Linked DNA regions of Rattus norvegicus. The protein of the gene in region 2 purifies or fractionates together with the protein of the main gene of each other region. This does not show direct contact. Links are inferred from orthologs where the notes say so. Each region holds a gene or a part of one and is shown on either strand. Other genes may lie near its edges. The genes, in order: Edc3 and Edc4.

Region 1 (3,808 bases), on a different chromosome or scaffold from region 2:
CAGGAGGCTTGGTCTCTACACAGCCATGAATGTTCTGGACTCACTATGCAAACTAGGCTTGCCTCAAACTCAAAAGAGATCGGACTGTCTCTGCCTTTAGAATGCTGAAATTAGAGTCGTGCTCTAACTCCCTAGAAAGGCTTATTCTTAAGAAGTTGGCATTTGACCTAGAATAAAGCTCATTTGATAGTTTTTGCTGAGCATACACAAAGTTCTAGGTTCAGTTCTCAATACTGAATAAACTGGGCATGTGTGTGTTTGTTTGTAATCCCAGCAGTTAGAAGGTGGAAACGAGGTTTAGAGTTCAAGACCATCTATGGCTACATAAAAAGTTTATGCCTGGGCTACCTGAGAGGTCCTGTCTCAAAACAAAAACAAAACAAAAACAAACCAGTTGACTTTTGCAGATTCTGTGTAGAATGGCCACATTTTTAGACCTGATTTCTTATAATAAATTTTCCTTGTTTCTTGCCTCTCTTTTACCATAGACTCTGGCCTGGTAGTCCCAAGTGTTTCCTATGAGCTACATAAAAAACTGTTGTCTGTGGCCGAGAAGCATGGGCTGACCCTAGAGCGGAGACTTGAGATGACTGGTGTGTGTGCCAGTCAGATGGCCCTGACTCTCCTTGGAGGACCCAACAGGTGAGTGGCTCTAGACTGGCAGTGCTAAATGTGGGGTGGCAGTGCCCTGCATGGTCAGCCCACATACCTCACATGCACATAGGAGCTGCTGCCAGGCAGTCACTGATGTCCCCTGTGAGCCTCTTATGCTGCCAACCTTCTTTGCCCTCTTCCCTGTCTCCTGGAAGTCCATACTGCCTTCTTTCCTGATAGCAGCGGTCTGGTCTTTTGAGATCCATGCTGATTGTCAGGTCTGATTTTGGGAAGTCCTGCAGGGATCTGGCCTTTGACACTGGCTTTTCACTAGAAAGCGTATCAGTCCCGAACGCCATCGCTCAGGGCATTTAGAGGCACCCTGACACCTAGTGGAGGAGGTGGTTTCTGCCTGCCTAAAGGCCACTGTTAGCAGCAGAGCTTGGTCTTCCCAGAGTATGTGTTCTAGACCTTCTCTTTGACCTTGGGCACACTGGAGACAACACAGTACACTGCTCATGCCTGGGGAAGTCCTCATGCAGGAAGTAAGGTGAATTGTCATGATGAAGGAAGCAGAGAAAATTGTCTAGAAATCCCCTGACTGCACTTGGCGGGACAGTGTCTCCTGGTTCTAGAGCAGTCTTACGAAAGCAAGTTTGGTCCAGGAAGGATAGATTTCATTCTGGTCTCAACTGCTTGCTTTGTAGAGTTATGAGTATTTGTTCCGTTGTGTGCTTTTCTTGGACCTGTTCTTTCCTATGCCTGACACTCATGTGCAGAAAGGGAAGTGGGCTCCCCAAGGAGGGATAGCTTGCTGCACACCTACTCTTGGAGTAGCCACCTGGATTGTCTTGGAATGAATTCACTGGGCAGAAGGATTTTTGAAGCCTTTAAGTGACTTTCTAGAAACTGGTGCGGGGCAGAGGGTATGCATGTCCACACCAGTGTATTCTTCTCTCACTGACTTCTTCTGACTAGTGGACTACTTTTTTTCTTCCTTCCTTCCTTCCTTCCTTCCTTCCTTCCTTCCTTCCTTCCTTCCTTCCTTCCTTCCTTCCTTCTTTCCTTCCTTCCTTTTTAAGGACAGGTTTACTCTGTAGCCCTGGCTATCTCAAATCTCCTGCCTCAGGCGCCAAGGCTTGCAGGCACTTGGCTACAGGTGTTTACCACTGTGCCTAATCCATTTAGGATTTTTCTGTGTTTGGTTGGTTTTGAAAAAAAAATTTGGTTTTTGTCTGTTTGGTTTTTTTGAGACAGGGTTTCTCTGTATAGTCCTGGCTGTCTTGGTGTAAGGGTCCATGATTTGCCCAAGAATGATACTCTGGACTTAAATAGTATGCAAACAGAGTGTTTTATTCTGCAGAAATCTAGCATGTTGGGGTCGCTCCATTACCAAGATAGACAACTAAGTGACCTCACAGGCCAGATTTAAAGCACATTAGGGGATTGCAGAGTCAGTGACCTTTATCTTACTCCATCTCTAGGATATTTCATTACTGGGACATGGGGTCTGGCTAGAAACTGCTGACCCATTGTCCTCGTTTCAGGCCAGGTGGTGGGACATTTCTGATGGCAGTGCAGTTTCTAACTAGCTGCCTAAAGCCTGGGTGTTTAGGCCTAATGTCCTGAACGACCAATTTGCAGCCTGCCATGGAATCAAACTCTCATCATTGGAACTTGCCTCACTCTGTAGACCCAACTGGCCCTGAGCTCACAGAGAGCCACCTGTCTCTGCCTCCGAAGTGCTAGTCTTAAAGGTGTGCCACCACCAAGCCTTGCCTGTTTTTCTTAATCTGAGCTTTCCAGTTGCATCTCTGTCCTTGTAGCAGTTACTAGTCTTTGGAAGTCAGACACATTGTTTTCTGTCTGTCAAATGTGTGTGTCAAGTGCCGTTTTCACAGCCGAATTTTATGTGCTCCTCAGAGCTTCACATTGAAGGGAAATGTTACAGACCCATGACTTAAGAGGAACAAACTGTGGCTTGGAGCTTGAAGGAGCATCCAGGTAACACTGCTGGTATAATGGTGCCAGAGCTTCACCCTGCAGAGGTGCTGTGGGTGCTAAGACCCCAGTCGGCTTTCATGCTGGTGAGAGCTTATGGGGTTAGGAAGGGTCTTGGGGAGTAGACCCTTGAGTCAGATGCCAGGACTCTGTAGCATGTATGTAAAGGAAGTCTTATTTCCTCTAGAACAGTGGTTTTCAGCCTTCCTAATGCTGCGACCCTTTAATACAGTTCCTCATGTTGTGGTGACCCCCAACCATAAAATTATTTTCGATGCTACTTCATAACTGATTTAGTTATGAATCATAATGTAATCTGTTAAATGAATCCTGCAGAGGGTTGTTCGGCCCAAGAGGGTGTGACATACAGGTTGAGAACCACTGCTCTAGAAGCAGAGATAATGGGGTAGAGAGTAGCTTGGCATCTGTTTAGAGGATTGTACTAAGTTCTCCCAAGTATGTTTGGGAATGAAAGTCCTGAAACTCCTTTTAGTCTCGACAATACCTGTAAATCTTCCTCTGTGGGTGGTGATTGGCACTGGCCCACCCTACATCTTACGGTTCATCTCATCTCTACCTTGTGGCCCCCTCTAGGGCTGATCTCAGCCTCCTTAGCATTGGCTGTCATAAAACAAAGACATGGCAGCTTTGACTAGCAGGAAGACTGCTCCAAGGCAGGTTCTGCCCTGATGTCTAGGAATCTCAGTTGAGGATTTCTGTGTGTGGGGAATCTCGGTCGATGCATTTGCTCACGTAACTCCACAGGAAGTAACGAAGCATCATCCACAGCACTGCGTTCCTTGGATGAGTGGCAAATAATCAGGGACAATAGGAGTTGAGAAAAGAAGAGTTATCATGACTCATAAGAGTGAGGTGAAGCTTTAATCTGGAGCTCAAAGAAAAGGGAGCTCGGAGTTTGAAAAGTGAAGGGCTTGTGTGCTTAGTGGAGGTCCTGCTTGCCCATGGCTTTGCTTGCTGTCCTGGCCCAGAACCAGCACTCTGGGTTGGTCCATCGGGCATCTGTTCCATCTGCAGGCTTCTGGGGCATGTGGAGGAGCCGGTCCTACAGAGTCAGACGTTGCTGAGTGGAGCAGGTCCTGAGTCTGCCAGCTGGCCCTCAGCTTGTAACCCTGCCTGATAGACATGGGCGGGACATGGGATGCCGCCTGAGGGCTATGGGTATGAAGGTGGAACCTAGTGAGCCTCTGGGAAG
Region 2 (3,808 bases):
AATCTAAAGGGACCAATGGGGACCAGAGAAGGGGTCAGAGCAGAGTACGGCTCCTCCTCCTCTGCTGGGCTTATGGTGGACAACACTCACATTCCTGAGTGCCCAGCCTGAAGCTGTCATTGATTTGCTGGAACATAGCCTGACAACTCTTCTCAAAAGCCGGCAGCACCACACTCTGGAAGGCTTCTCGGTAGGCAGCCTGCATTGGTCCCTGTAGCGTATCTGCAGCTGCGCGGGCAATGGCATCTGTTAAGTTCTAAAATATAGGAAGGGGTCAAGTTGAAAGCCCGAGTTCAATCTGGCTTGTCTAGCCACACTTCCCCCATCCTGGACCCTACATCACCTTGGACTTGAGTAGCTTAGAGATATTCTCTTTCATGCTGCCTTCCACAGCTGTAAGCTTGGTAGCCACTGAGTTGCTTAGTTGGCCTGCCACAGGCTCCAGACTTCTGGAGACACCTAGGAGAGACAGGCGGATGGAACCATCAGTTTGAAAGTGCCCTACACCCACCTGGCCCAGTGGAAAGAAACCTCATGGAAAACTCACATGGAGGAACTGTTTTCTTGATTTCATCCCTTATGCTGCGCTCTAGCCGCCCAGCCACAGCTGAAGACAAAGCCTGGGATAGCTGCTGTGTCAGCTGCTCCTGTAGCTGCCCACCCCGTTGCTGCCCCTCAGCCAGTGCCCGCTCCAGTCGCCGTTCTGTGGTGGAGCTAAGGAACAGGCCTACAACAGGACCTATGCCTTTCCTAGGCAAGAATGCTACTGCACCTTACTGCCATGCTGTGCCACTACCCCAAGGATACGCTCTTGCTCATGCCGTGTCTCCAGGGCACGTTCTACATGGTCTGTGACAGTGCTCTGAAGACCTTCAAGTTGGGCACAAAGACGCTGTAGCAGCTCTTCTTGGTTGTGCCATAGTTCTGCCAGCTCTCTTTGCTGCTGCCAAATTAGTGCTGGCCAGTCTTCAGGGGGCTCTACCACCTGCCAGAAGCACTGACACCTTACACATCTCCACCCACCAAAAAAAGTAGCTCAAAGTCCCTCCCACCCTTGTGGGATGGGGCCCCATGGGTAGAAAGGTGCTCCCTTACATACCTGGTGCTCGGTGAGCCGAGATCCCACAGCTGAATCCCTACATAGGCAAAACAGCATTGCAGGTCACAACAGGCAGCTCAGACCACCACCCCTGGCCCCGGTCCAAGAATTCTCCTACCCATCATCCTTCTTGCTTTTCCTCTTGAGCTTAGGTGAAGTCCTAGGGGATCCCTTGGTTTTCCAATCCTTGGCAGGCAGCCGTGGAGTAGGAATTTTGCTGCCAAAACCTCCTGAAGCAGAGGCAAGGCTGGCAACCTCATCGTCATGGTCACTGTGGAAGGAAGGGGAGGAAGGCTGAGTGTCTGCTCACTTGCTTTTCCCTTATTCACTGCTCTCCTTCCTTAGAGGAGAAGCAAGGAACAAGATTGTGCTCACCTTTGCTCAGCACTTGTGTCCTGACTGTCATGTTGCTGCAGCAGGTGATAAGGTGGCCTGTGGAAGGCCAGGCTTTTGTGCTTTTCCTGGAGGCCATTCCTGGGGCTAAGGAAACACATGGACTCAGTAGTGGACAGTCCTAATATAGACGCCCTGCCCGCCCGCCCAGGCATATTTCCCCCTTCTAATCTTCTTACCTTTCTGTTAGTGTGCTACAGGTCTCACGAGTAATGTCAGGTGCTGTAGGCCAGACTTGACTGTCAGAGGTTGCAACTTCCTGGGTCAAGGCTGCTTCCAGTAGGGAAGGGGTACTATGCCTATCCCCATCCCCAGGGCCTCCATCTAGACCAAGCTGAGAACTAAGCTCAGGGCCTTGCCTGGGCCGAGGAGACAGTAGGTGTAGTGCTGAGGCAGCTGAGGCCATGCTGTCTGGCTCAATGAGGCCCTCAGGTACAGAGGAGCCAAAGCCACGGGACAGGGCCTCAGATGCAATTTCAGGGATGTCCTGGGACAGGGCAGTGGATGCTGAGGAGATCACATCAGGAGAACGTGTGCGACTTGGGGAGGCCTGGGGTAGCCCTAATGGTTCCACTTCCTGCAAATCCAAGGATAGTGCAGAAGTACCAGAAGATACCTGAGAAGAGCCAAAGATAGAGGCTTAAGTGCTAAGGGCTCAGGGGCACAAAAATAAGGCACTGGCATCTGTAGTGGTTAGACATCATCTAACAGAAAAGGGAGATGCAAGTGGAAAGCAGGGCCACAGTTCACAAGAGGTGGGGATTGGAGGCTGACGAGATGCCCTCTTGGGAACATGAAAGCCTGCTCTAACCTTTGAGGAAATGTAACACTTCCAAGGCCAAGGAGGGTCAGAAGAAAAATATATAGGAATAGAGTGCTCCAATCTTTTCCATTGCCCTCTACCACTTGCTACCTAGTACTTTATACGCATTCATATTCTCCCCTTATCCCCCAACCCCCACCTACCTGACCAGGTCCCTTGGGAATTAGTTTGTCAGCTGGGCCTGGGAGCAGGCCCGGAAGAAGGCTCCGAGGGCTTGCCTGCAGGCTGCTGCTGCTGCTTATAGTCAGGCTGCCATCTAGCTGCAGTTTGGGGCTCAAGGTCAGTTCCTCGGGTGGCCTACTGGCAGAAAGGCACGGCATTAGCAACTGTAATTCGTCACAGTTGGGCACAAGACCCAATTCTGATTTTTATTTTACCTGGGCAAGGAGGGGTCCATGGCTGAGGAGCTGCTCACAGCAGACACAGCTGTTAGAGAGCTGCTGCTGCTACTGCTGCTGCTGCTACTGCTGCTGCTGCTACTGCTGCTGCTACTACTAGGGGATGCAGAGATCTGGGAAGAGCCAGAAAATGAGTGCTAAGGTTAGCTAATGGGACATTACCAGACCTCTCTCCACGAAGGAAGTAAGTACCTGCTGCAGGGAGGCGGTAGGTGTCATGAAAGCATCAGGTGTCATCAACTTAGGCTTGGTCTCACTGCTCAGACTGAGGAAGTCTGCAGGTGCAGGCAGCTCCACAATGCGTCGGAGGTCAGGCTGGGAACCATGAGGAGCTGAAGCTAGCCCCTCAGAGCCTAGTTCAGGTCGAGACTCTCCAAATGCTGTTGGAAAAGCTGCTAAGTCAGATCTCAAGGCCACATCAGTGGAACCAGTCTCCCTTCTGTTCCCTTACTCACTGAAGTCCTCATGAGCAGTGTGGGTAGAGAGTGGGGCCACCACATCAGGGTTCAGCTGTGGCTGGAAGCGGATCTGCACATCTTGGAGTGCCCTAAAGAACAAAGGGGAGAAGAGAATACTCAAAAGGCCAGGGCCAGTAGGGTAGGGGGACATAGGCAGGACATGGCAGGCCTCCCTGACACACTCACTTAGTGTGCACACAAAAGAGCTTGATAAGCACACCAGCTGCAGATTCCAAGGTACCAGCTCCATGGGAACTCTCTGAAAGGACAGTGTGGATCATTAAGGCATTGGCCTGCTCTGTGCATGGACACTTCCCACATACCAACATATAGCCCTTACCCCAGGGCACCTCACCAGTCCCCAGACTGTCACTCTCCTCCTCAGCAGGCAGCACCTCAGTGTGCCGCAGCCGGCAGCGACTCACAACCTGGATGCCAAAGCTCAGCACAGGGTGGGTGAGCAGGAACTCAGAGATGGAACTGAAGCAAGCACGGCCCTCGTCCTGGTTCTGCAGCAGCTCCATCACATAGAGGACCTGCATGAGTAACACACTGCTAACTCAACTGAGGCTGTAAGGGCTGTGACTACATCACATAGCCCTGCCCTTCCCAGCAACACCAGCTCTTTCCAATGTAC

Evidence for each region.
Region 1: the proteins of Edc4 (region 2) and Edc3 purify together in Homo sapiens (affinity purification with mass spectrometry; 6 studies listed by BioGRID and IntAct, with this or other methods). This does not show direct contact. The link is inferred for Rattus norvegicus from reciprocal best matches to the Homo sapiens genes EDC4 and EDC3.

What each region holds. Positions count from the first base shown.
Region 1 is NC_086026.1:67,036,448-67,040,255, forward strand, and holds part of Edc3 (enhancer of mRNA-decapping protein 3), read left to right. Parts: intron 1-488; coding exon 489-642; intron 643-3,808. UniProt on the Homo sapiens protein: Binds single-stranded RNA. Involved in the process of mRNA degradation and in the positive regulation of mRNA decapping. May play a role in spermiogenesis and oogenesis.
Region 2 is NC_086037.1:50,690,283-50,694,090, reverse strand, and holds part of Edc4 (enhancer of mRNA-decapping protein 4), read right to left. Parts: intron 3,708-3,808; coding exon 3,527-3,707; intron 3,431-3,526; coding exon 3,358-3,430; intron 3,261-3,357; coding exon 3,169-3,260; intron 3,094-3,168; coding exon 2,906-3,093; intron 2,827-2,905; coding exon 2,693-2,826; intron 2,616-2,692; coding exon 2,459-2,615; intron 2,109-2,458; coding exon 1,672-2,108; intron 1,580-1,671; coding exon 1,475-1,579; intron 1,371-1,474; coding exon 1,218-1,370; intron 1,137-1,217; coding exon 1,100-1,136; intron 986-1,099; coding exon 808-985; intron 704-807; coding exon 548-703; intron 460-547; coding exon 344-459; intron 257-343; coding exon 91-256; intron 4-90; coding exon 1-3. UniProt on the Homo sapiens protein: In the process of mRNA degradation, seems to play a role in mRNA decapping. Component of a complex containing DCP2 and DCP1A which functions in decapping of ARE-containing mRNAs. Promotes complex formation between DCP1A and DCP2.